Linked DNA regions of Rattus norvegicus. The protein of the gene in region 4 interacts with the protein of the main gene of each other region in a biochemical or structural test. Links are inferred from orthologs where the notes say so. Each region holds a gene or a part of one and is shown on either strand. Other genes may lie near its edges.

What was found.
Region 1: the proteins of Lrrk1 (region 4) and Nek1 form a complex in vitro, tested with the Homo sapiens proteins (2 studies listed by BioGRID and IntAct, with this or other methods). The link is inferred for Rattus norvegicus from reciprocal best matches to the Homo sapiens genes LRRK1 and NEK1.
Region 2: the proteins of Lrrk1 (region 4) and Bag1 form a complex in vitro, tested with the Homo sapiens proteins (2 studies listed by BioGRID and IntAct, with this or other methods). The link is inferred for Rattus norvegicus from reciprocal best matches to the Homo sapiens genes LRRK1 and BAG1.
Region 3: the proteins of Lrrk1 (region 4) and Bag5 form a complex in vitro, tested with the Homo sapiens proteins (2 studies listed by BioGRID and IntAct, with this or other methods). The link is inferred for Rattus norvegicus from reciprocal best matches to the Homo sapiens genes LRRK1 and BAG5.
Region 5: the proteins of Lrrk1 (region 4) and Ckap2 form a complex in vitro, tested with the Homo sapiens proteins (2 studies listed by BioGRID and IntAct, with this or other methods). The link is inferred for Rattus norvegicus from reciprocal best matches to the Homo sapiens genes LRRK1 and CKAP2.
Region 6: the proteins of Lrrk1 (region 4) and Scel form a complex in vitro, tested with the Homo sapiens proteins (2 studies listed by BioGRID and IntAct, with this or other methods). The link is inferred for Rattus norvegicus from reciprocal best matches to the Homo sapiens genes LRRK1 and SCEL.
Region 7: the proteins of Lrrk1 (region 4) and Cimip4 form a complex in vitro, tested with the Homo sapiens proteins (2 studies listed by BioGRID and IntAct, with this or other methods). The link is inferred for Rattus norvegicus from reciprocal best matches to the Homo sapiens genes LRRK1 and CIMIP4.

The regions. Positions count from the first base shown.
Region 1 is NC_086034.1:34,017,077-34,020,576, reverse strand, and holds part of Nek1 (serine/threonine-protein kinase Nek1), read left to right. Parts: intron 1-1,258; coding exon 1,259-1,410; intron 1,411-3,500. UniProt on the Homo sapiens protein: Phosphorylates serines and threonines, but also appears to possess tyrosine kinase activity. Involved in DNA damage checkpoint control and for proper DNA damage repair.
Region 2 is NC_086023.1:60,867,060-60,870,559, forward strand, and holds part of Bag1 (BAG family molecular chaperone regulator 1), read right to left. Parts: intron 2,142-3,500; coding exon 2,028-2,141; intron 1-2,027. UniProt on the Homo sapiens protein: Co-chaperone for HSP70 and HSC70 chaperone proteins. Acts as a nucleotide-exchange factor (NEF) promoting the release of ADP from the HSP70 and HSC70 proteins thereby triggering client/substrate protein release.
Region 3 is NC_086024.1:136,590,479-136,594,588, forward strand, and holds the start of Bag5 (BAG family molecular chaperone regulator 5), read right to left. Parts: upstream 2,801-4,110; 5' UTR 2,689-2,800; intron 2,247-2,688; exon of another isoform or gene 2,231-2,246; intron 1,047-2,230; 5' UTR 1,022-1,046; coding exon 1-1,021. Other genes in the region: Coa8 (cytochrome c oxidase assembly factor 8), read left to right, coding at 2,934-3,056. UniProt on the Homo sapiens protein: Co-chaperone for HSP/HSP70 proteins. It functions as a nucleotide-exchange factor promoting the release of ADP from HSP70, thereby activating HSP70-mediated protein refolding.
Region 4 is NC_086019.1:129,285,631-129,289,130, forward strand, and holds part of Lrrk1 (leucine-rich repeat serine/threonine-protein kinase 1), read right to left. Parts: intron 2,899-3,500; exon of another isoform or gene 2,896-2,898; coding exon 2,731-2,895; intron 2,152-2,730; coding exon 1,979-2,151; intron 880-1,978; coding exon 759-879; intron 390-758; coding exon 230-389; intron 1-229.
Region 5 is NC_086034.1:76,555,614-76,559,113, reverse strand, and holds part of Ckap2 (cytoskeleton-associated protein 2), read right to left. Parts: intron 3,463-3,500; coding exon 3,393-3,462; intron 743-3,392; coding exon 502-742; intron 1-501. UniProt on the Homo sapiens protein: Possesses microtubule stabilizing properties. Involved in regulating aneuploidy, cell cycling, and cell death in a p53/TP53-dependent manner.
Region 6 is NC_086033.1:86,859,132-86,862,631, reverse strand, and holds part of Scel (sciellin), read right to left. Parts: intron 2,017-3,500; coding exon 1,924-2,016; intron 1,170-1,923; coding exon 1,098-1,169; intron 1-1,097. UniProt on the Homo sapiens protein: May function in the assembly or regulation of proteins in the cornified envelope. The LIM domain may be involved in homotypic or heterotypic associations and may function to localize sciellin to the cornified envelope.
Region 7 is NC_086025.1:111,815,413-111,818,912, forward strand, and holds part of Cimip4 (testis-expressed protein 33), read right to left. Parts: intron 3,124-3,500; exon of another isoform or gene 3,050-3,123; intron 965-3,049; coding exon 534-964; intron 1-533.

The DNA.
Region 1 (3,500 bases), on a different chromosome or scaffold from region 4:
GTTGTTGTTGCTTTTGCCATGTTTGCCAGCTTGTAACCGATGATCATTTCCATAATTGGTGTAATACAGAAACTGTGTTCAAATATTGGGAACCTGTTCTTTATTATTCTGAAAACGCTGCACTAAGAAAATTGGCCAAATATGCAAATTTCTGTCACTGTGTGAAGCACTATGCTTTCTTCAAAGCCTTCCCTGTAATTCAGAGCTCCTCAGCGCCTAGGACTCACATTTCGATCTCGGATTCCTTTAGAGTTAGCCCAGCCCAGACACGTGTGTTCAGCTGTCTGTCTCGTATCTATTCGTCACATGCTAATTGTTGAAGGGTCGATGAACAGAGTCGCTTCCAATCATTCCTGCTCTTGGCCAACACTGATTTCATTTTCCGCACCTTCGCTGTCTGTCTGTTTTTCCATTAGCATAGTTGGCCTACTTTCTTCTTGGTGTTGTATAAATGCTTTTCCCCATTGGCCTCGACGAGCTCGTCCTGATAGCCTTCCATCTGAGCTTGAGGACCCCGCTCAGCCCCGTTCTCGGGGAGGCAAAGGCAGGTTTCTCTTTACACTGATGTAAGGTCACTGATTTGCCCCATGTCAGCCAGCCAGCCACTCCTCGGAATAAGCACTGCACAGGGGCTGGTTGTACGTCACAGAGCTGCACCGCGCTCCAGACAACTCCTTCAGCTCTCAGCAAGTCTGCACAAGGAGAGCTGACCACAGGAAGGCAGGAGAAGCCCAGTGCAGAAAGAACAAATGGGCACTTCTCACACCGCCTGATTGTCAGCAGATTGGCATTTGCAGGCCATGTGTATCACCACACTAACCACTCTCCACTCTGTAAAAGCTGACCTAACTGAACTGCCATGCTAAAGCCCAGTCATTACTCACGAGTCTAATTTTCTTTATGAAAAAACATTAGCTGAATTTTTAATTTTTTGGTATTTTCTCACGAGTACTCCATTTGCATCATTCCCGTTCCTCCATCTCCGCCTCCAGCTCCTCCTGTGTACTCACACATCCTTTCATGGCCTCTCCTTTAATTATTGTACACGCATACATGCATATGAGTGCTTACTAAGTCTGTTTAGTGTTGCTTACATGAGCTGAACTTTAAGGAAATTGAGTTGTAACCTCAAGCAAGTCACCTTTGAATTCTTTAGTTCTAACATATAATTTTGGTATTGTAATTATATCACCTCTGATTCCTCCCTTTGCTTTTAATCCTCTTCCTCCTAATGGACAATCTGTGAACCTCTCTGTAGATGCTGAGGACCTGTTCACTTCCAGACCTTTCCAAGCTCTTCAGAACCCTAATGGATGTTCCCACTGTGGGAGACGTTCATCAAGACAGTCTTGAAATAGAGGAGCTTGAGGATGAACATATTAAAGAAGGGCCCTCGGATTGCGAGGACATGTAAGTATGGGACCACTAACAAACGCCAGTATCACTTGGACATCTGAATTGTAGTTTTCTTCAAAGTCCAGAGAGCGCGGCCTACAGTTGGCTTTTCATCACCCTTCAAGCTCTTACAACTTTGTTCAAGTATAATCAACCTTCCACTGTGTCATTTGAGGCACATAAAATTAGTTTATATTTATGCTCACTGTCTTTTTTCCCATTAACATCCATCTAGTAAACTGATGTGACTATAGTAAGTAATTACTAAACAGTGATTAAATCATTTTCACAGGATAATGACTGTTGAACAGTGAAATCTCCATTATACCGGGACTGAGATGGGAAATAGGGAAGTCTTAAGCACTCTGCATTTTATCAGGAAAAAAGATGCCTAAAAGATTAATATCTACCTTGTAATGTTTAATTTTAGGATGTATCCATGGTGATTTTGTGTGGTATATGTGGGAGTGGAGTAAGGTAACTCTGTGTGTGTGTGTGTGTGTTTTGCATGTAACTTTGTTGCATACAGAAAATTCCTTTCTTGTGATTCATGGGAAATAGAGAACTCAGGAAGGAAATAGAACAACATTTCTGTAAGTTATAGGAAATGTTGGCCAAGCCTTAGATAGGAATCCTTCTTAACCTCTGTAATTTTAGCCAACCACCTCAGACAAGTATGACAACCTGGGAGGAATAAAGTCAAAATATCCTGTAATGAGGTGCTAGAAGCAGCACAGCACAGGAGGAGTCTATCCTGCAGGGTGCAGGGGTGCAGGGTGCAGGGGTGTAGCTCAGTGTAGAGTAGTAGCCTGCAGGAGGTTGCAGTTGCAATCAGGATTGCTGCCTTTGACACGTTACTTCTCAAGTTCCTAACGACGCTCCACTGTCTCATCAGCCCTCTTAGAGGCCTGTGGGTGGGTGGTTTGGAGGAAGGTCCCTCTAGCCCTGTGTTAGTCAGCTCATGGGGTGAACACAGCATGCAGCACTTCATTGGTGACAAAGTGTTGGCTGTGGGGTTTTTCCTCGGGCGTAAGTAAAATGGACACTGTAAGTGAGCCAGCTGTAACTAACAAAATTATTCTAAGTGCTGTTCTATATCGACTGGCCTGTCTTGGAAAACCCACTTGGATCGGTACCTTTCTCCAGATTTTACAACATGAAAGCCAACTGAAAACTAAGCTTAGGGGCTGGAGAGATGGCTCAGTGGTTAAGAGCCTGGACTGCTCTTCCAGAGGTCCTGAGTTCAATTCCCAGCAACCACATGGTGGCTCACAACCATCTGTAAAGAGATCTGATGCCCTCTTCTGGTGTGTCTGAGGACAGCTACAGTGTACTTATATATAATAAATGAATTAAAAACAAAAAAACAAAAAAACTAAGCTTAGGGCCAGATACCTAACACGGATATTTGAGTGCTGATTTCACACATTAGATCTCCTCACATTTTTCTTAAGCAGCAGTCAGGCCAGCCTCAGGAATTTAACTCCCATTTGTACGTCTTGGCCATGTTTTTCTCTAGCTGACAAGTGGGTTATCCACAGGTCAACATTTAGTCTTCATAGCAAAGGTTCCATGATGCATTAGGCTTCTCATTAAGCACCAAGTTTTGTTCTGATCACATCTGTAGCGTCCACTAAGTCAAATTGCTATAAGTACAAAATAAAGGTATTTCTGTGCAAATGATCATTTTCTTTGTCCATTAATGTAAATTGTTTTCAAGGTCTCACAAAGTATTATATTTGGGAGTTAACTGTTAACTTTGGGAAGGGTCCTCTCCAACCCTGTACCTTACTCAGCATTGCATTCCTAGTCCAGGGACTCGTGCCTAGGGACCTCATCCCTTGTCCTCACACATCAGGTAATTCCTCAGCTTCATGTTTGTCCTCAGAGACGAACCTGAAGTTTTAGAACTGAATTTCTAGTTATTGTACAAGTGCCCAAAGACAGAGGTTGAAGATGCTTGATAAGGTCACTTGTATATTTTCATGTCTCTAATGAGTTTCATTTGGATAAAACTTAAATAGCATAAAACTGCTTAGTAAACTCGTATGCTATATACATATAGGATTTTACCTATAAATTATTCCACGTTTTAAATCTCAGGA
Region 2 (3,500 bases), on a different chromosome or scaffold from region 4:
ACTATTGCAAGTGTTTGGGACTCCTGGGAAACCATGCCAATAGACAGGTGAAGCAACCAGAGTTCACCTCCGACCTAAGAAGCCAGGCTGAATCTCAGACCTTCTTCCCTTGGGAAAACTAGAAATGCTAGCCTTGGCCAGTCTAAGAATCCTACCGGGGTGCAAACTGCTCTTTTTCATGCAGTCCACTGGGGCTCTGAATGCCTCCTGAGGAACTACGGTGCAGCCTTCAACATGAGTGCATACATGCACATACGGAGCAGACATTAAGAGAATAGACTGGAATGCTGGGCATGGGGCATCGAAGGTTGGCACGAGGTGTCTGTCAAACACTGTGTGGTGGTTTGAATAAAAATGACCCCCATATATTTGGATGCTCAGACATTAGGCTTAGTCATTAGTGCTACTTGACAAGAATCAGGAGGTGTAGCCTTGTGGGAGGGAGTGTGTCACTGGTGGTTGCCTTTGTGGTTTCAAAAGCTCAAGCCAGGCCCAGTCTCTCTCTCTAACTGCTGCCCGTGGATTGAAATGTAGAGCTCTCAGCTACCTCTCCAGCAACACGTCTGCTTGCATGACACCATGCCTCCTGACATGATGACAACAGACGAGACCTCTGCACTGTAAGCCAGCCCCAGTCAAATGCTTTCTTCTTTTAAGAGTTGCTGTGGCCGTGGTGTCTCTTTACAGCAATAGGACACTGACTAAGACTCTGTCTAATTTTTGTTGAGACAGAATCTTTTACTGAATCTGGAACTTGCCCAATTTGGCTAGACTGCTTGGGCAGTGAGTGGCAGGGATCCAATCCTCCGGTCTTTGCCTCCCAGCACTGGGATTATACAGTGTGCCATCAGTCCAATTTCTACATTCTACATGATGCTGGGACTCTGAACATACCCCCAGCTTTGGCTTAAGAGCTTAAGCGAGTTACTTAATCTTGTCATGTCTCACTGTTCTCGGAGATGAGGGAGCACAGGTAGACAGATAACAGAGAATGACACTGTTGTTTTAGCTTTGCTTTGAGACAGGATCTCATGTAGTATAAGCCAGTCTCCAACTCACCGCATTGTCAATGCTGCCCTTGAACTCCTGATCCCCATCTCTCCATCTGAGGAGAGCTGGGATACAGGTGTGCAAAACCACACCTGGTTCAAGCAGCACTTATTGTCATTACCCGTCCTCTGTTCATTCGCATCTCTTTGCCTAATGCTCTGTTAGCTGGCAGCAGAGTAGAAAGGCAGGAATTTCTGAAGATGGCTATCGAACCGGAGTGACAAATGCATATTTGACAACACACAGCAAGAAGTTCAAACATTACTCAGAAATCCAAACTCAATTCTATCCAAAACAATCACAACTACTCAAAAAACACTTGTGTCCAAGGGCACGCAAAGCAGCAGCACATGTAAGGGAAAAAATTAGGTAAAACAGAGAACAGAGACTAGGTTAAGTAAATCATGATGTATTCACATGCAGTAAAATATGGCTATTTTCAACGACAGAGGAAAATGTTAATTTTTCATCAGTAAAAGAATAATTTACCAACTGTACAACATATTAAATAGGATGAGAAATACTTTTCAGAGTAATGGCATCTCTGGGTGACACGTTCATACCTGCACACAAGAAGCACAGTGAGAGCACAGTTTAGGGGTGAAAGGCCTCGGTTTGAATCTATCTATATACACATTTAAAACGTTTGCGCAAGCCTCCCACATTAACTTCAGAATTTAAACCCCAAACTGGTCTGGAGAGACAGTTCGGTGATTAGGAATGTGAGCTGCTCTACCTGCTTACCTGAGTTCTGATCGCAGCATCCACACAGAGGCTCACAACCTCAGATAACTCCGGCTCTGGGGGAATCTGAGATCTCTGGTGGCCCTGGCCATCAGCGACACATGCACATACTCCCACACAGACTCAGACGCAGACACACACATAATACATAATAAAAATGAAGTAAGCTGGTTTTTAAAAAGCCAGCCAGGCAACAATACCATAGCGCTCTATCCCTAGACTAGGGAAGTCACCTGCTGGATGTCAGAAAGCTCTTTATTCAACTCTTCCAGGTGGTTAGCTGTCTTCTCCACAGATACCTCCAAGTCCTTCAGCTTTTTCAACTCAGCCTCTTCTTCTGGATTGCTCTAACACAAAGGATAAAATTCGGTCGGTAATTGCTCACCTAAAAAGACTGAGTCAACCTCTCGTGCTTCTTGCTTGGAAAGCATGTCAAAGGGTTAGACACCACGATTCCTATCTGTAAAGCCGAGCGTCAAGAAGGAAGGCGGGGCTGGGGATTTAGCTCAGTGGTAGAGCGCTTGCCTAGGAAGCGCAAGGCCCTGGGTTCGGTCCCCAGCTCCAGAAAAAAAAGAACCAAAAAAAAAAAAAAAAAGAAGGAAGGAAGGTGTCAAGCGAACATCGTAGTGAGAATCCTGAGGACGTATGCTCAGAGAATGGAGCCAATCCAAGTGTCAGGTTCAGCCTCAGCCCTGTGCTGACCCCAACCCCAACAGCTAGGTCAGAATGTAAGCACGGACTACAGAGAACTCACTGCTCTTCCAGAGGATCTGGGTCCAGTTTTTGGCACCCACACAGAGGCTTACAATCTTTTGTAACTTCAGTTCAAGCATATCCTACCCTTCTTATGGCCACCACGGGCATCAATCAGGCAAGCCCATAGTGCAGTCACACAGATGCAGGCAAAATACTAGAATACACGAAATAGGATAAATACATCTTTAACACAGTAGAGTGTAAGTAAGTTCAAGAGAATACCGCTAAGGTGTCCAGAATGGGAAGACAGAATTCAACTCGTCCTTTGTTTTGTCTTGAGACAAGATCCCACTACCTAGTCTCATTCTTCCTACCTCAGCTTCCTAAATGTTGAGATTACAGTGTGCTTCCATGCCCAGCAGTATGACATTTTTTTTTCCCAAACAGTGCAGGGTGGCCTCAAGAATACTGTGTAATGGGAGGACGACCTTGAATTCCTGACCCAACTGCCTCTACCTTCCCTATGGTAGAGCTACAGCCAGGTGCCACCAGGTTTGGCTCACGACTATCTTCTTTTAAATGTAAATGTCACCCTTCAGTTGGATTCTCCTATTTAACACGATAGTAACAGTGACAACATTTTTCCTGAATGCTCTTGGTATGCCAGGTACTGTGCTTAAAATGTTACCTCTGCTACTTGGTTTTTAAGCTTTACCATAACCCTAAGAGGCAGGAACTGTTTCATAGATGACACTGGGCCTTAATGTAGTAAAGTGACCTAAGGTCCCAATGCCCAATCAGGGGAATGGACTAGAACTCAGCTGTGGACTCCCTGACCCTAACCAGTTCCAACAGAAACTACCACAGCACACCAAACCGAGACCATGGGTACTGCCTTCTGCCCGTATTGTTTGCCTGACCCTTCAGCAAACATTTACAACATTATTCTTTCTCTCGCCGGCAGCTAGGGCCAGCAGCTTCCTGCTTTGTTATGCTCCCCGAAACTCTCC
Region 3 (4,110 bases), on a different chromosome or scaffold from region 4:
TCTGCACCTCAATCACTGCTCTTCTCCTGGCCTCTCTGATGCAGGGGTTTTTCTCCAGACTCACTTCGTCCAGCTGCCCGATCAAGCCCTGCAGCTCTGTCTTGGACCTCAGGTACAATTCAGGAGGGCTCTGTGCCTGGAGAAGTTCATTTTTCATTTCTCTCATCCTCTTGAGGACATTTTCTATCTTTATAATGGAATGGTTCTGTCCCAGGTCAAATGCATGTGTATTGTCAGCTTCCTCTTCTAAATCTAGATATTTTAGTAATTTGTTGATATCTTCCACCACCTCCCTCCGATAATTTCTGATCTCTGTACGCCCACACACATCTAGAGCATCTAAATCAGCCATCAGTCCTGACAGCACGCATGATAAGTGCCTGCAAGTCTCAGAACTGTCCACGCCCATCAGAAGTGCAATCAGAGTACCTCTGGCCTTGTTCACCTCACACATCACAGAATTGATCTTGGCGACAGAAGGATGCACATCCTCGGAAAGTGGCAGGGAAGGCTGTTTCCTCACACAGTCTTCAATAATCTCTTGTACCGCACAGATCTTGGTTAGTGTGTGGTACCTTGCTTTCCGCAAGGAGATCTTCCCTCCTGTTTTAACATGTGTCAGCCTCAGAATGATGTCCTGGATGGCTTCCTCAAACTCGCTAGTCACACAGTTGCTTCCACTGTAAAAGGGCACAGTCTTTTCTTTCACAAGGGCCTGAGCTTCTTGAAAGATATTCTTGATTTCAATCCGGTGTGGGTGGTTCGCGTTCTGCTCCAACTCTTTGAGAAGGCGTTCTGTGTCCTGTGCTGCCCTCTTCCTAGCTTGCTGGATGTCTCCTTTCCCTTCTGTATCCACAGAGTCGATTTCAAAAAGTTGTTTCGTCAGAATCCTCTCCAGTCTCTTGTAATTCTTGTCATCCGACAGGCCACTGAAGCCAACCACTTGCTGCTCTATACTCTTTACTTCCCGTTGGATCTCCTGAAGCCTACTAATAGAAGGGTGTTGGTTTCCCATATCCATACTTGTGTGTTCAGTTTCACAAGCACTGAAAGATAGCAAGAACGATAACTTATTAGTCTCTTAGGGTAATAACCCAATCCAAACACTCCTTTTTAGTACACTTTTTAAAAGGGCTCACTGGGGCTGTGGAGAGAGTTCTTAGTCAAGTGTCCAGGTTGCAACTCCAGAACACGTGCAAAAAAAAGCCAGGGAAGGGGCTGGAGAGAGGGCTCAGTGGTTAAGAGACTTGAATGCTTTCTAGAGGACCTGGGTTTGATTACCAGCACCCATATGACAACTCATGACCACCACTAATGGTAACTCCAGTTCCAGGGGATCTGATTTCCTTTCTGTACTCTACAGGCACGCATATGGTGCACAGACATCCATGCAGGCAAATGAAACACCAACACACATAAAATAAAACAGAAAGGCCAGGCAAGACGGTGCCCAGTTAAATTCCCAGGGCCGGGGAGGCAAAGACGGATGGAGCTCTGGGATTCACTGGCCAGCCAGCCAGCCTAACTGAGGGGCTCCAGGACAATGAGAAGCCTTGCCTCAAAAAACAAAACCAAAGGACACCACAGAAACGATGGCGGGTGGACAGGTCAAACTCTGGCAGCTGGGCATGCAGCAAACACACGGAGGGTTTTGTCAAAGGTTTAAAAGACACTTGAGGAAAAGGAAGATGTGACATGTCAACTGCCTCTTTGAACAGGTACAAAAAACAAACCAACCAAGCTGGTGAGCTGGTGTATGCCTACCATCCTAGCACCAGGGAGACAGAGGAAAGAGAATTACGAATTCAAGATCGCCAAGGACTACTTGGTGACACCAAGAATCAAAAGCAAAAAGAAAATAAGGGAACACGGCAGGGATTTTAAGAACAGACAGGAAGGTACTCATGGTCCAGCCTGGGTGGATGTCTAGGCCTATGAATTCTGTCTTAAACCATGAAAGCGAGCTGCATACACTTTCATATACTAGGTCAACCCACCGGGTTAGCAGCAACACAATCTCCTGAAATCCCACCAACCTAAGCTAGTCTTTGGAACCAGCAGGGTGCCCTTGTGGAAGTAGCTCTTCCAAACTGACAGGAGCAGCATTCGGACAGACAGCTAAACTTGCTACTTTTCAGAAAGTGGAACTAAGAAAACGTCCAAATCCTCGCCCTCGACTTCAAGTACCCGCCGCAAAAACCTGACGACTGCGATTAACTCGGTCACTCGCCTCCCCGTAAGTGTGCTTAGAGCATTTCCCACGCTCTCAGGTTTCTGTCAAACAGCTCACTTCTGGCGGGCAGGCCACAGAACTCAGTCCCTGGGGAGGGTCCAAGCCCGGCCTTCGCAGCGCTTTACTCCGAGAGGTCTGGGTGGCGGCGGTCTTGGCTGCCGCGGAGGGCGGCGAGGTGGGAGATCGGCCCTTCACGGGGAGCGGCACCGGAGCGGAGCCCCCAGCGTCATCCCCCTCGCCCTTCCCGGCTAGGTCTGACCCGGGCAGCCGGTGAAGGGGCCGGCGGAGGCGGCGGCAGCTACTGGCCGCGGCGGCCGCTCCCGGGTCTCGGCCGGGCCGGACGCGCCGCCACCTGACCTCACAATGGGCGCGCGGCGGGCGCTGGCCTGCGCAGCGAGGGTGGCCAAGTGCCCGACTCCGGAAGCTCGGAGGTCGCGCCCCCGCGCAGCGCTCACCTGTGCCGCACGCGCCATCGCGCTCCGCCACCTCCACTTCCGCAGCGTTGTCGCCGTCCTCGCACAGCGGGCCCCTCAGCTCCGAGCCCGGAGAAAACTCGCCTCCTCGTCCGTGCGGGCCCCGCAACCGGTCGTCCCTCTCAGGGAATGCGCAGGGTCGGCCTCGCCGCGCGTCGCCCCAGGCTTTGCGACGCTGCCGTAAAGCCAACCTTTCCACTGTCGCGATCCTGCCGTACGCGCGGGCCATGGCGGCTTTGCGGCCCGGAAGCAAAGCTCTTCGCCGGCTGCTCTGCCGGTCCTTCTCCGGCGGCGGCGTTCGGCTGGCCCGTGAGCGCGCTACGGAGCGCAGGGATGCTGCGTCCAGCCGGGTAAGCGGGACGCCGGGGCGCTGGCAGGGAGGGAAGCCGCTGAGCACCCCAACGACGCCCGCGTCTCTCCGGCAGGCTAATGATCCTTGTAGCGGATCCGCTGTGGAGAGTGCGAATCTTGTTTATTCTACCAAGTTAAATACCATTTGTATCAACACAGCTCTTGAAGTGTGTTTTCTCACTTCCGCTTCGTTAAGACTAGTGTTCGGTTTAAAGCGGTGGCCGACTTCATCATCTCACTTGTGTAGACTTCGCATTGTTTGTAAATATGCACGTGATGTCAGAGATCAACAGTGCTTGTCTGCAGCAGGAAAGGACGTGAAGCCTTTTTAAAAATCAGTTCCGGGGCTGGAGATGGCCCAGCAGTTAAGAGCACTAACTGCTCTTCCAGAGGTCCTGAGTTCAATTACCAGCAACCACAAGGTGGCTCACAACCATCTGTAATGAGATCCATACCCTCTTCTGATGTGTCTGAAGACAGTGACAGTGTATTCCCATATATAAAAAATAAATAAATCTTTTTTTTATTAAATCAGTTGCACTTCTTTGCGACAGGATGTTCTGTTTAAGGAAGGCCTAGGTTTTGAGTCTATCCGTCAGATGAAAACATTAATCAGTGGCTACTAACACTTCACCTGCCACTAGGCTAGTGATAGAGACTGGAGAGCTTCGATTAAGCAATAATTAAGAGAGGGAATGAGGGGCTGGAGAGACGGCTCAGAGGTTAAGAGCACTGACTGCTCTTCCAGAGGTCCTGAGTTCAATTCCCAGCAACCACATGGTGGCTCACAACCATCTGTAAAGAGATCCGATGCCCTCTTCTGGTGTGTCTGAAGACAGCTACAGTGTACTTATATATAATAAATGAATACATCTTTAAAAAAGAGAGAGAGAGAGGGAATGAGGGAGGGGAAGAGAGAAACAGAGAAAATTAAGAATTGCAAAATGTGCCTGCTGTGGAAATTTTCATTTGCTACGCTGTGTCTCCCAGCACACTTATTATAACTACAGCTTTGAAGTTCCTTCTACGGCTTAGATTTGTTGCCGAGGACCC
Region 4 (3,500 bases):
GAAAAGGGGCAGGTGGAGGGGAGGCAGCAGGGAGAAGTGGAGGGAGGCAGCAGGTAGGCAGGCAGACACCAGGAGGTGTTGAGCGCTGTCATGTAAACCTGCTAGCCTGCTGTGCTGAGGGCCCAGGTGGAGATGTGGTGACCAAGAGCCTCCCAGGTGTCTCGCCCCACCTTCTGCCAGCCTCCGGTCCCCTATACCTATGCTCCCTGGGTACCCACTCCTGGCCTACCAGACTGCAGGTCCTCATAGTCTTTGATGTCATTGCCAGGCGTCTGCTCCACCAGCTGCTCCAGCTGCCTGTCCGTCAGGTACTGTACTTGATCTTCCAGGCTGCGGCGCTGTTGTTCAGCCAGCACAGCCTCCTGTAGGCTTATGTAGCTCCTGGGGATCTGGGTGCAGGTGGGGCAAAGATGGGCCTCTCAGGTGTAAGGAGTATGTGTCGCCTGCACCAAAACTCCCCACTATCATCCCACTCTATGGTCTTAGGACCAGAAGACATGTCTTTACGGCATTAGAACTGCAAACACGTCTCAGAGCATGGCTTTGCCCCACCTCAGGTGGGGGACAAACGTACAAGGTCACAGCAGATCTAGTCATGCCAGGTCTATTGTGAGAGCCGCTGATCCTTCCCTGCTCCCACCTGGAACTACTGACCTTAAACACAGACATGTGCCTTACAGCAAGGAAGGGGACAGAAGCGTGGATCCCAGTAGTGGGAAGCAGGACCCTCTGACCCGACTGCGTGCGGGGACACTCACCAGCCTGCCAGCGAGTTTTTGACAGCCGATAGTGCTGCCCACGTCCTTCATGTTGCACGTGACATGGAAGATCAGTTGCCTCAGCCCCTCCTGCCCTTCCAGATTCTTGCAGGAGATCTCGCTGTATGTGCAAACACTGGGGCTCAATCGACATGCCACCTCTTTGCTTCAGGGCGCATAACATCCCAGTTTCCCTGGAGATTTGTCCCAAATGGTGACAAACCTCGAGAAGTCATTAAAAGAGAGAATAGGAAGGCTTTGGGGGCCTTTCTCTGTGCACAGCCCCATGCTGGATGTCCTATAGCATGCCAGTTTGGTCTGTCTTCCCAATAGACTGAATTCACAGAGGAAGAGTAAGGCCCAGAGGTACTGGGCTTCCCAAGGGTGTTAGCTTGGAAAGATATATGCTTGTTGAGGCTTTGACTATGAACCAGCCAGCACTCCTGCTATTGAAGACCCTTCCAAGTCTTTCTTGGGGCATACCAGGGGTCCCCCCGCCCCCAAATCCTGATGTTGCATTCGAGTCAGGCTGACCTGTGTCCCAGCACCCATGCCATCACACCCAGAGTGAGGGAATCCAAGAGTAGCTGAAGCAACACCCATTTAGTCTGCTCAGGGATTCTCACTTCTGTTACTGAGCCTCAGATGCATGGTCTGAGCGTCACAACCCTGGCAAGGTGGTGGCCACTGACAAGAGGTTAACTGAGCAACACAGCCAGGGTAGCCATTCTCCTCAGCACCAGACCGCCCTGCCTCACACTCTGCAGCTGCTTCAGACGTAGCAGCTGTCTCAGATCTAGTTAGAGCCAACACAAGGACTGGGATGTTGGTCCTTGATCTGAAAGTACTGTGGACAGTGCTCACATTCACGTGTCTTCGTTCCAGGGGAGCTGTGTGCTCTAGGCACTGGCCCTGATGGGAGGAGAGAGCCCAGGAAGGAAGGAAGGAAGGAAGGAAGGAAAGAAGGAAGGAAAGAAGGAAGGAAGGAAGGAAGGAAAGAAGGAAGGAAAGAAGGAAGGAAAGAAGGAAGGAAGGAAGGACAGACAGTTATGGAGTCTGGAGACCCTGTCTCTCTCTAATCATCCAATGGGTCATCCCCTGCTCACGGTGCCACCCTCTGTCCAGAGGAGCCTGTCTCATACACGTGACAGATCCCAGGCAGGATGGGATCTTAGTGATCCCGTCTTGTAGTGGCAAGAGAGAGAGTAGACGATACTCACTGCAAGTGTTTGAAAGTGATGTCTGGGAATCCTGTAGCTCTGGACCCCGATGGTGAGCGGCAGAGGGCCAGCACGTAGGCACGCAGTGTTGCGATCCTCTCTACTCGGAATTTAGCTTCGATAAGGTCCAGATGTGTCCCAACCACCAGCACAACGGCGTTTGGGGCCTTGGCCTGAAACAGAACCCCACAGCTAAGCCCTGTATCTTTGCTCTGAATAAAGAGTGGAGAACAGTTTCCTCAACGTGCAAGTGTGCCAACCTTGGATGTTAGTGGTCCATGCTCAGCCACCCTCCTGTGGACTCTAAGATCATGGGTCCATTATGAACTGAGGGGCACGGACTCTTATGAACTGATCTGCTTCATGCAATGTGTTTAGCCCATGGAGAGGGAGACCTGGTCCTTCTGTCTACTGAGGGAGAAGCCTGTGTCAGGCCAATGGCACCTTTACACGGAGAGGGAGTACTGCCTGCCTTGCACACACAAGGTTATAGGGTTTAAGGTAAATAAGGGTATAGCAAGCACACTGGGCCCTCAGGCCCAGGAGGCCTCTGGTTCTTGATGTGAAAATCAACCAAGAACCAAGTCGTGGGGCTCCCCACAGTTGGAAGACATTGGGCCCTCTGGGGGGAGCCCTTCAACAAGAATAGAGTCTTTTCCTTGTGTGGTCCCTTTTCTCTGTAGTCCGCACAGCACTTCAGACCACAGAACTGTGGGAGGCTGGGACCCGAACTCTAGAGGGTGGCTCCTTACCTCAATGTTGAGAAGCCAGAACTGGAGGTTGGCCACAGCTTCTTCCCCCAGGGCCAGGTTCCAGACCACCACATATAGGGCCTTATCTGTGAAGAAGCACTGATTGACTGTGGCCATGCTGGCAGGGCCCCCGATGTCCCAGACGTTGAACTCCACAGACTCAACCTACTTGAACAATAAGACACAGAAAGGGGCATTTGAGTGACCACAGAGGCAAGGAAATTACAATGAAATGTACAACTTGTAATGGATCTGGAAAAGTCATGGCTATGGGAAACATCCAGGCTCCGGCGTGTCTTAGGAATTAACAATCCTGACCAGGGAATCCAGCCCAGCGGCACAAAGGTAGACGTCTGGGGGCTTCTATGTGAAGCTAACAGAGCAGGGTATCTGAGGAGATCGTGGCCTGCTGTGTTAGTTATCTTAGGCTTCCCACAGTTGGAAGACATCTGGTTGCAGGAGGGCCCCCACTTTGACATCATGGCTCCCACCCTCTGTGCAAGGCCCATATGGAGGAGGAGGCGTCCCAGAACTCATGTAGGTCAAAGGTTAGAGGCCACCAACGAGGATGGGAAACTTCTCCCACGTGAGAATCCAACAACAGGAACTGGACTGCCAGGAAGGCTGTGTAAATGGTCTCTCTGTCACTGCATGAGCTCAGAGCTGGCGGAGAAACCGAGGCTGCAGTTAGCCATAGCCAGGAGTCATTTCCATGAGGCAGCATTTTGGCCTCCAAGGCATAGACAGCATGCTGACCTGGTTTTGTACAA
Region 5 (3,500 bases), on a different chromosome or scaffold from region 4:
GGAAAGACCCAGGTTTGAACCCTTGCCCCCACACAGCAGCTCGAACTGTTTACTCCGTCCCAGGGAAACTCCACAAGTATTTCTGGCTCCTGTGGGCACTGCACTCATGTGGTGCAAAGGAACACATACAGGCACACCCACACGCACCAAAATAAATCTCAAAAATTTACATAAAAATGCCTAGAAAGAGCTGTGGGTTGCACAGATGCATGTGGCGGGAAACCAAGGCTGGCGTTTACAAAGTGACACCATGTAGAAAAAACAAAGCTGATGTAGTAACGAAAAGGTCAGGTGTCCCGATGGCCTGTTCTCACCCTGTTTGAAACAGGGTAGTCTGGATTAGACTTCCATCCACAGCAATCCGCCTGCCACAGGCCCAGGGTGATGCAATTACCCAGGAGTCATCATATTCAGAGATTGACCCTTAGCATTAACATTTTTTTTTAAACAAAATTATCACTGGAGCATGAACACAGGTGACATTCCATTTTAAACATTTACCTTTGCAAGCGTGGTGTAGAAGATACATTATATCGAATCAGGCAACCTGCCTCGGCTTTTGAGTCTGGGGTTGTTAGATCATTGGTTGGATCTTCTGTTTTGCTGTCCTGATTGTCTTCGTAAACCTCAACTTTTCTATGATGTTCATTCTCCTCTTCTGGTTTTCCTGACCCGAGATTAGTTTCAACATTTACTTCTTGGATATGTTCCTTGGTTGCATGAGCCTCCTCAATATTTTCTCCTATAGAAAAATTAAAGATTTAAACTATTTAAACAAAATGTCAAAATGACAGAACCAAATGACACTGCCTAGTCATTGTATTTCCCATGTACACACTTCTGCCAACAACTTAACAAACGTCTAATGTCCCGTGTGCAGAGATACAAATTTAAGAATGGAACCATTCCAGTTCTTAAGACTATGCCATGAAAGACACAGGTGAAGAACAATTAACTATAAGTGAGATAAAACAGTGTAAGTCAAGTAAGAACAAAGGGTTGCTGGAACCCATAGAAAGGAATGAACTAGGTCAGTTTTATGTCAAGTTGACACAGGCTAGAGTCACTTGGGAAGAGGGAACCTCAGCTGAGAAAATGCCCCCAACCATATCGGTAAGTCTGTGGCGAGTCTGTGGGGCATTTCTTAATTAAGGATTGATGTGGTTGGGCACATCCCATAGGGAGTGGTGCCACTGCTGGGTGGGTCCTGGATGATATAAGAAAGAGGGCTAAGCAAACCAGGAAGAGCAAACCAGTAAGCAGCACTCCTCCATGGTCTCTGTAACAGCTCCTTCCCTGTTTGAGCTCCTGCCCTGACTTCCCTCAGTGATGGACTGGGATGCAGAACTGTGAGCCGAAATAAACCTTTTCCTCCCCAAAGGATCAAGGTGTTTTACACAGCAATAGACACCCTAACTAAAACAAGGAATTATGCTTATGGTACAGGGAGACAGTTAGGGAAGTATTCAAAAGGAATATTTACAATGGGTCTTGAAAATAAGTATTTAATAAGACTGAAAAGATAATCTTCTAAAGAAGCATGGAAGAACGTCGATCTAGCAAGCACTTGGCGCACATATACACATGCAGACAAAAGACTCAATAAAGCAATAAATAAGTCTATATTAAAAAAATCACCTGCAAGATTCTGCCATGAACAATACTTATTGAAAAGAAAAGGGTCAGGCTTAGGAAAAACATCATGTGCTCAGCTCTGCATGGAGCTTGGCGTACCTGAGAGACCCACGGTATCTATTATTATCAGTAATTTCTCAGTTAATATGTCTTGTATTTTCCACGTTATTTCTTGTCACTTAGATTTCACTTTGTTCAGTAAAGCCAATTTTATATTTGAATATTATAAATTTTAGAACATCAAAGCTTTATGGTAGCTTTTTTTCTATCACAGACTAATAATTTATCTGCTTAAAAATACAAAGATTCTCAGAGAAAGAACTGGAAGAGCTTGAAGGGGCTCGAGACCCCATATGAACAACAATGCCAAGCAACTAGAGCTTCCAGGGACTAAGCCACTACCTAAAGACTATACATGGACTGACCCTGGACTCTGACCTCATAGGTAGCAATGAATATCCTAGTAAGAGCACCAGTGGAAGGGGAAGCCCTGGGTCCTGTTAAGACAGAACCCCCAGTGAACTAGATTGTTGGGGGGAGGGCGGCAAGGTGGGGAGGATGGGGAGGGGAACACCCATAAAGAAGGGGAGGGGGGAGGGGGATGTTTGCCTGGAAACCGGGAAAGGGAATAACACTCGAAATGTAAATAAGAAATACTCAAGTTAATAAAAAAAAATAATAATAATAATACAAAGATTCTATTAAGGGGAAAAATGAGAAACTGAATTCAATGTAAATGACACCTCTAGAGCCAGTAAGAATTATAAGACTTCAGAAAATCTATTTATTTGTTTTTTTGGAGGCAGGGTCTCACTATGTGGCTCTGGCTGGGCCAGAACTCAGAGAGCCACCAGCCTCTGTCTGTGTGTGTGTGTGTGTGTGTGTCTGTGTGTGTGTGTGTATGTGTGTATGTGTGTGTCTGTGTGTGTCTGTGTGTGTCTGTGTGTGTGTGTATATGTCTCGTGTTGTCCTGTGTACCCTCCACCTCCCCACCCTCCCTGCCTCCCTTGTGCTTGGACTAAAGGTGTGTACCACCATGCCACCCTGCTCACAAGTTTTATTTTTATTTCTCTCTTTAAGACATGACAAGAGAGGTGGCTCAGAGGTTAAGAGCGCCAACTGCTCTTCCAGAGGTCCTGAGTTCAATTCCCAGCAACCACCTGGTGGCTCACAACCATCTGTAATGGGATCTGATGGCCTCTTCTGGTGTGTCTGAAGACAGCTACAGTGTACGCATATACATAAAATAAATCTTAAAAAAATATTTATTAAAGAAGAAAAAAAGGAAGAGAGAAAAGCTGTTGTGCTGTGGCCCACTTTTAAGACAGGAATCTAAGTCCCGGAAAGAAACTTTCATACTCAGTAGTAGATATGGATTTTGAACTAGATTCCTTAAATATCTTTTTTGAGACAGCGTCTCACTCTACATCACCTAGGCTGTCCTGAACCCATGATCCTCCTGCTTCAGCAGCCAAGAGCTAGGATGCCAATTCTTCTCTTTCGAGACAGGGTCTCTATGTTCAAGGCCAGCCTTAACCATCCCCCTATCTTAGCCTCAGAAATTGCTAGGGTTATAGGTGTGAGCTTTCATATCCAGCTTAAAATGTCTATGCAAGATAGACATTTATTACACTTCAGAAGCAGGTCAACAGAAGCACAGGGAGAAGACCTTATGTTTAAAAAAAAAAAGTTAAATGAAAGGGAATCTGAAATGGTACATTTTAGTAAAAATCACAATTCGCCTGAAGAAAACTTACCCAAATTGGCTTTTTCTTGATTCTTCGTTGTTAGAATATCTATGATTATATGTCGCATCTCTTCAATAGGCTTAAATTTTAAAAAAAAATGTTTTTAACAAAGAAAGA
Region 6 (3,500 bases), on a different chromosome or scaffold from region 4:
TGTTTAGTAGACTACGCTTAATTCTAGAAATTAACGGTTTCTTAAAGGTTGACATCACGGTTGGTGGCCTTTGTTTCAATGAGACACTTCTTCAGACAGGAAAATGTATGGATGTGCTGCCCCACAGGGTTACCAACATGTGAAAAGAGAGTGATATGTAAGTATAAACGCTTGTTCCTTGTATCCCGCTTGCCAACATTCTATTTCTTGACTTTACTCCCACTCCCATGCTGTTTATCTATGTGTCAGTTTCTTTCAGATTCAATAACTACTTATTGATTTAATTTTTCTCTTAAATACTTTATTTTTTAGTTTAATTAAAATATAGTAGGAATCACTATCATGGAGCCACTATAGCGTGATATTGAAATTAGGAGAAAAGTTACTTTAGGAATTGGATGTGTAAGTTAGACATGATTTGAGCCAAAGAGGCATTGAGTTGCCTGTGGGAACTGTCATGCACACAGAAGATTTCCCTGAACTGCTGTTCTGGGTTTTGTTAATGTGGATTTAACACATGTCATGTATGTCTATGTCATGTATGTCTATGTCATGTATGTCTATGTCATGTATGTCTACCTTTGTGTGCTTTGCTACTCTATTACCCTATAATGAGGCCAGTTCTCATTTTTTGACTCCTTGACAACTAAATGTTGTGAATCCATGACCTTTGTGGACAGTTTGGTCAATATCCATCGTTCTAAGCAGACAGTTTCATGGGACATTGGCACTCTGTAAATCAGGCCATGGTATGTCAACCTAAAGATATACTTTCTGTTTCAGATTGGAAGTACCTAGTAGATAAAGCCTCTGAATTAAGGTCACTCAAAAAAATTGTTATACCAAATAGTCATACACTTTATGTGAGAACATTTGATTAATAATCCTATTACTTACTCATTAGTTATCTTAAATACTTTTGAGTCCATACAATAACCATGAGTTGCCCATCCCCCTAATTATTGGGAACAACATATTATATGTGTAGAACTTACAATAATTCTATCTTCTCTATAAGACCACACCCGGAAATGGTAGGACCTCTTGTGTGGCACAGACCATTCAGGGCTATAAAAGGAAGTAAACTTTCCTGTTACCTGTTCTCCACATATGTCCTTGTGTAAACAACAGTGTCCTTGGGCCCAGCATTCCTGGTTCCAGAATTGGAGCTGCAATAAAACCATTTAGCTTCGTGTTAAAATGTTACTTGTGAGGATGATAAAAACAAAACTATATATTCCATGTATACGTAACATAAATACAATATATATAGAGAGATATATCAGAGAGCATGAAGGCCATCTTAACTATCCATGTATTGTACGTTAGTGTATGTTTCCCTAATGCTCTGTTTATTTCTATGCCATACATGTTCCCCAATAACTCTTGAGTTAAAAGTGGACTTTGACTATTGAAAACTCAGATTTAATGCTATATACTCAGACAGATCCAGTTCAAGAATGTGAATATTGTCAAGTTTGAGAAATAGTTCAATGGGTAAGAACATTTCTTCTTGCAGGGGACCCAGGTTCAGTTTCCAGCACCCACATATAGTGGTTCCCAATCACCTGTAATTCTAGTTCCAGGGGATCTGATAATTTGTGGACTCTGGACACCAGTACATATGTGGTGCATCTACATAGACTCATGTACGTAACATGCATACAAAATAAAATAAATAAATCTCTAAAAGAAGTTGTCAGCATCACTGTCACAATCATATTCTGTGTAATTGTAGACTTTAAAGCAAGGACTACATTTCATATCTGTCTACATTTGTTCCAGCAATCAATGAGCTGCTGACTCAGCACTCTGATATAAGGGTAGTTACATATAGCAAGTCCTAGGCATCAAAGATGTGGTTAGCTCACTTATAAACAAATGCAGGGACAGTGTGGTCATTGGTTTTGTAACGATCTGTACCTGAGGCTGGTTTTGGTTTCATGAGAATAGACTGATGTTCTTGGGGATTCCTTGCGCAGACTGTTAGTGACTCCGTTGGCTTGGCCATCTACCCTGCAAGAGCAAACGTGTGTGTTTGACATTCAAAATCAAGATCACTTACAGGTGTTTTTGCTCTATTAAAATGTTACTTGGCGGACAGTGTTTCTTTACCTCTACCTGGTTTCTGCACAGCTACATACAGAATACATAGTCTTTACTGGTTCCCCTGGCTCCGCAGAACTCACTGTCTTACTTTCACAAATAATCTACAGACAAAAGCCATATTATTCAATGCCATGGCAGAGTGTATTTTCATCAAGGAGAAAATCCACTGAAAATTGGTTCCTCGATTGCTTCCACAACAGCGATGCTGTTTAGAAAACTTCCCTTGTAGCACATATCTAAGGATTCATCACCTTAATGAACGACCCAAGGGTTGGTTTGAGCTGTTTCACTTCCCATTTTGCCTTAATGAAAGGTAATACTTTGAAGACTGCAGAAGTCTGACCTAGATTTCTGCTGATCTAAAAATGTCATCCTGTTTAACAGAGCACAAACACATTCAATTTCTCCCAAGGAATGGAGGAAACTCTCAATGAAAAAAATAGTGAAAATTATAGCAATTTCTCTCCTCTTCTGTGTTGGTAAGCTTCAAGAGTAAAGACATGGAAACCTACAGTTCGGATGTTCTTTAAGCCTTATTTTCAAACACACTGTCTGTGGGTGGCTTTGTGCATTTGAGTGCTTGCACCCACAGAAGCCAGAGACAGGAATCACTTGGGAGCTGGAATAATAGGCGGTTGTGAGCCTATGTGGGTGCTGGGACTTGAACTCTGGTCCTCTGAAAGAACAGTACATGCTATGAACTACTGAGCTATCTCTCCCACCTTGTCCCATATAACTTTTAAAGAGGAAGATGTATTAATGGCTCATCTCTGACACACACAAAAAATGAAACTAATGAGATAAAAATATTAGAGGAAGGTACCTTACATTTTAAACTATAAAAAAATTAGCCTTGGCTAAATATACACTAAAATTTACAAGTATGAAGCTATGAATTGAGGCTAGCATGACTTTTCTCTCCATTTTGTTCAAGACTTTACGAAGATGTGGGATGCATTGATTTTAAATGTATCAGGCCATAACATCATACATTTAAAGTTATCACATTCATGTGATTCTAAACACGTGTACACATTTCTACGTCAATGAAAGTTTGTGGGGACTTGTGCTTGTAATGAACATATCTAGAATAAGTTACTTTTCATTTGCTTATCTTTAAAGAGCATCTTGCTTTAATGGAGATGTTTGTGAGTAAATTTTCAAGTTATAGCACATAGTGAAAAGGTGGGATCAAAACTATCACAGGTTTTCTCATGGGTTTTATTAGGCTATGTCATCCCAAGAAAAATAAACTAGCTTAGAACTGTTGAAGAATAATCAAACTTAGTGCTTCCTTAGAATTCATAAGACTCTGGTTTCAAACTCTGGCAGCAGTAAGTAGGTAAATATTAATTCTACACAAATGACATGATACACACTATAAAGTTCAA
Region 7 (3,500 bases), on a different chromosome or scaffold from region 4:
CTATACACGTTGAGCTCTTACTGTGTACACATCAGAAAGAGGCTCTTTGTAAACCGAGCCTGTCCCCACCATTGTAGAAATAAGGAAACGGAACTTCAAGAGGCCAGACTTCCCCAGTTTAATATGGTTGATGAACCCCAGAGCCCCAACTTGCTGCCCTAATACTAAGGTATCCCACAAAGCAAACTTTTTAGTTTACACTGAGACCAACTTCTTTCTCATACCAAGAAGGAAACTGAGACCCACAAGGTCAAGTCTGGGCCTGTGGGGCAGGAAACCTGAGTATGAGATCAGTTCTGACCATAGAGCTGCTCTTGACTTGGGCAGGGCTTGGAAACCTCTAGGCTCCTGTTTTCCTAGTTGTAAAACATGGGTAGAAGGCAGACCCAAGAGCCTTGAAACTAACAGGTCTCAACAGACACCACTTTCTAACAGTATAAGGCCCTTTGTACGAATGGGTTTTGAGTCCTAATTAAACGTTTCTAAGACAACCTTCCTTCACGTGTAGTCTCCCGAGTCCCTAGCTTTGTCACCTGATCCTCAGAGATCAGTTGGTCCACCATCTTGCTCCCAAATTTGTGGCGGATGTTTTCAGGAATGGCGGTGTCCTTCTTGCCCAGAGGCAGTGTCCTCTGCTCTGAGGACCTGGAGTCCTGGCCTTCCGGCCCAAGACATGCCTCTCGGAAGGTCTCCCTGGCATCTCTGGAGCTGGATCTGGATGCTCCCTTCTTCAGGTCCTCAGGATGTGAGTTCATAGCCAGAGAAGTCCTGCAGATAGGAGTTGGTGGCAGAGGTGGGGTCTCCAGGTGGCTCTGGCCCAGAGGGCCGCCTAAAGGGCTCTGGGAGAGTCTTGGATGGTCCTTAAATTTGGAGCTGTCCAAGGAGCTACGGGCAGCTCTGCAGGAGTCCATGTCCTGCTGGCCCTCCATGTTGTTCGGGTGGGTCCTTGTCAAAGTGGTTGTACCTGGGCAGGGGGGTAAGATGGATGGTGAGAGGTGGGAGGTTCAAGATGGGGGTGAGGAGCAGATGAGGGGAGGTGACAGCTGGACCGATGGGAGGGAAGTAGACAAAAACCAGAGAACCAGAGCCAGACAACAGGTCAGTACAGAAGTCACAAGACCCCAAGGCAAGGCAAGAAAGCAGGGGGGACAAAGGGATGTCAGTGGGCAGACCTCCACAGCTCAGTTGTTGTCCCCATAAGGCTGTGACCAAAGGGGCTGTGACCCAGGCTTGTTCAGCCTTCATTAGGCCAACTGCATGGCCTTGAGCAAGTGATCCAGCCTCTCTGAGCTTTAATGTCCCCTAGCACACTTGGATCAGCTTCCTTGCTCACTTTGAGCCGCAACAAACCCTAAGATGAATCCAGCAGGCATAGGGGTGGCAGGGGTGGCTCTTGGCTTGGCCAGATTTCAGATTGGCAAAGTGCCAGAATGGGCTCTTTGCTCCCCATTCCCATGTCTTCTGCCTTCCCTTCCAGCCACCTTCCTGGATCTCGGGGCTTCCTTTCCCATTCCCATTTGTATCACCCCAAAACTCTGCCCTCAGCTTATGTCCCTCCACTCCTGTCATCCCTGGTTCAGATAAGGGACGGATGCCTCAGTCCCTGATCACCCTGAGGCACTTCACCTCTCAGGGTCACCCAAGCTGGTCTACTACCTGTTGAGGCTATCCCTTTCTTTTTATAAATTTTTATATTTTTTAAACTTTATTTTTATTTTTATGTATAAGGGTGGTCTCCCTGCACCTAAGTCCAGGCACCAAGTGCCCACAGAGGTCAGAAGAGAGCGTTGGATTCCCAGAGACTGGAGTCACAGACAGTTGTGAGCCACCATGAGGTTACTGGGAATCGAACCTGGTGGGTCTTCTGGAAGAACAACTATGGCTCTTGACAGGAGAGTCCTCTTTCCACCATCCACCACCCTTCTGTTTTGAAAGTCAAATCAGATTTCTTACACACGCACACGCACACCTCCTGTCACCAACCCCATCTGGCTAGGCCAGTTCTCTGCTCAACACTATACACAGTCCATTTTCACAGCCCTGGATGTCCCCTTTCTACCTCAGCCGTAAGCTCCACAATGCCTCCTTCCGCCCAGTAGATAAGGGAAGAGGATCGCACAGGTGAGGTCCATGAAGGAGGCCAGTTTCCAGCCTTCTGCCACACCCCACAATCCCCAGAACTTTTGAGTCCCTCAGTAAAGGAGAAGACAGATGGCTGCACAATATCAGACCCCAAAGAGTAACAACACCTCATGCAAGCCAAGACATCAGCCTTCTCTCTGCTGACTGTAGGCTGCACTGATGACCCTGGATTTGGCTAACCAAGAGTGTTTTCTCTAAGCAATATGGCGGTGTGTATTCCAGTACATGTGCTGTGCATGAGAGTCCCTCGTGGTCCTCACAGTCTAACCCCATTCTCAGCCCCAGGAGCCAGTTTGATCAGCTTGCCCCTAAATATTCCAGAAGACTCTTCCAGTCTACAACAGCGTGTTTTGCTTTTGGGTGTAAATGAAATCCAACTTCATGCTGCATTCTAACTTGCTTAAAATACACCCTTGCACCTCAGAGTCCAACCCACACCATTGGTATGGAGGGAATGTCCCTTCCTACTTCACAGACGCCGGCTGCTGCCCCACTGCTTGGTGGCCACCAGTCAGGTTTTAAAACAGGCTGGTGCAAGCATCGGGCTTCACAGCTGTGACTTTCTTGCCCTGTTGAAAGCCCCTGCCTCAGGGATCATGAGGGGTAGTGCCAGAACCCCCGGCTCCACTGGAAGTGGTGTGGGTGCTTCACCAGGGAGAGGGTGCAGAGAAAAGTGGGATCTCTTTCCATTTCTCCCCACTTCTGCCTGCCTCTCTAACCCCACTCTTTGTCCCCATCTGCTTCCATCCACAAATCCAAAGGGAGAGATTGTCTCCTGGAACCAGATGGCCCTCCTCTCCTAAGTTCTGCCCAAAGCAGCAGACAGTCAAGCAGTGGGGCTTCCGGAGCCAAGTAGGGCTTCTAGAATATAAGCCAAGGTAGGAAGAACAGAATACACAGCACCTGCCTGGTCAGTGGAAGTGTCACCTCCCCCTAGGAAGACAATGTCTGTGCAGGAGCAAACTCACACTCCTTCCTGACCCAAGGTTTAGTGATGCCATGTCCCCAGCCTGCCCTCCTGGCTGCCTCATCTGTTGAGCTATTATGAAGTAACAATAGCACCCTAGTCTTCTGCCAGCCTTCAGGGTTGGTAGCACCTCTGGCCTGGGTATGTCCTGGGTTCTTGGGCTCATAGAGCAAAGATCATTACCTTTGTCCTTTGGGCACCCAGAAATGTTGAGGGTGGTGGTGTTATTCCTTGGGGTCTGATATTGTGTGGATGGGATGGGATGAGATGGATGGTTGGGTAGGTGGGTGGATGGATAGATGGATGGAATGGGTGGATAGATGGGTGGGTGGATGGGTGGGTGGGTGGGTGCGTGGATGGATGGATGGATGGATGAGTGGGTGGATGAGTG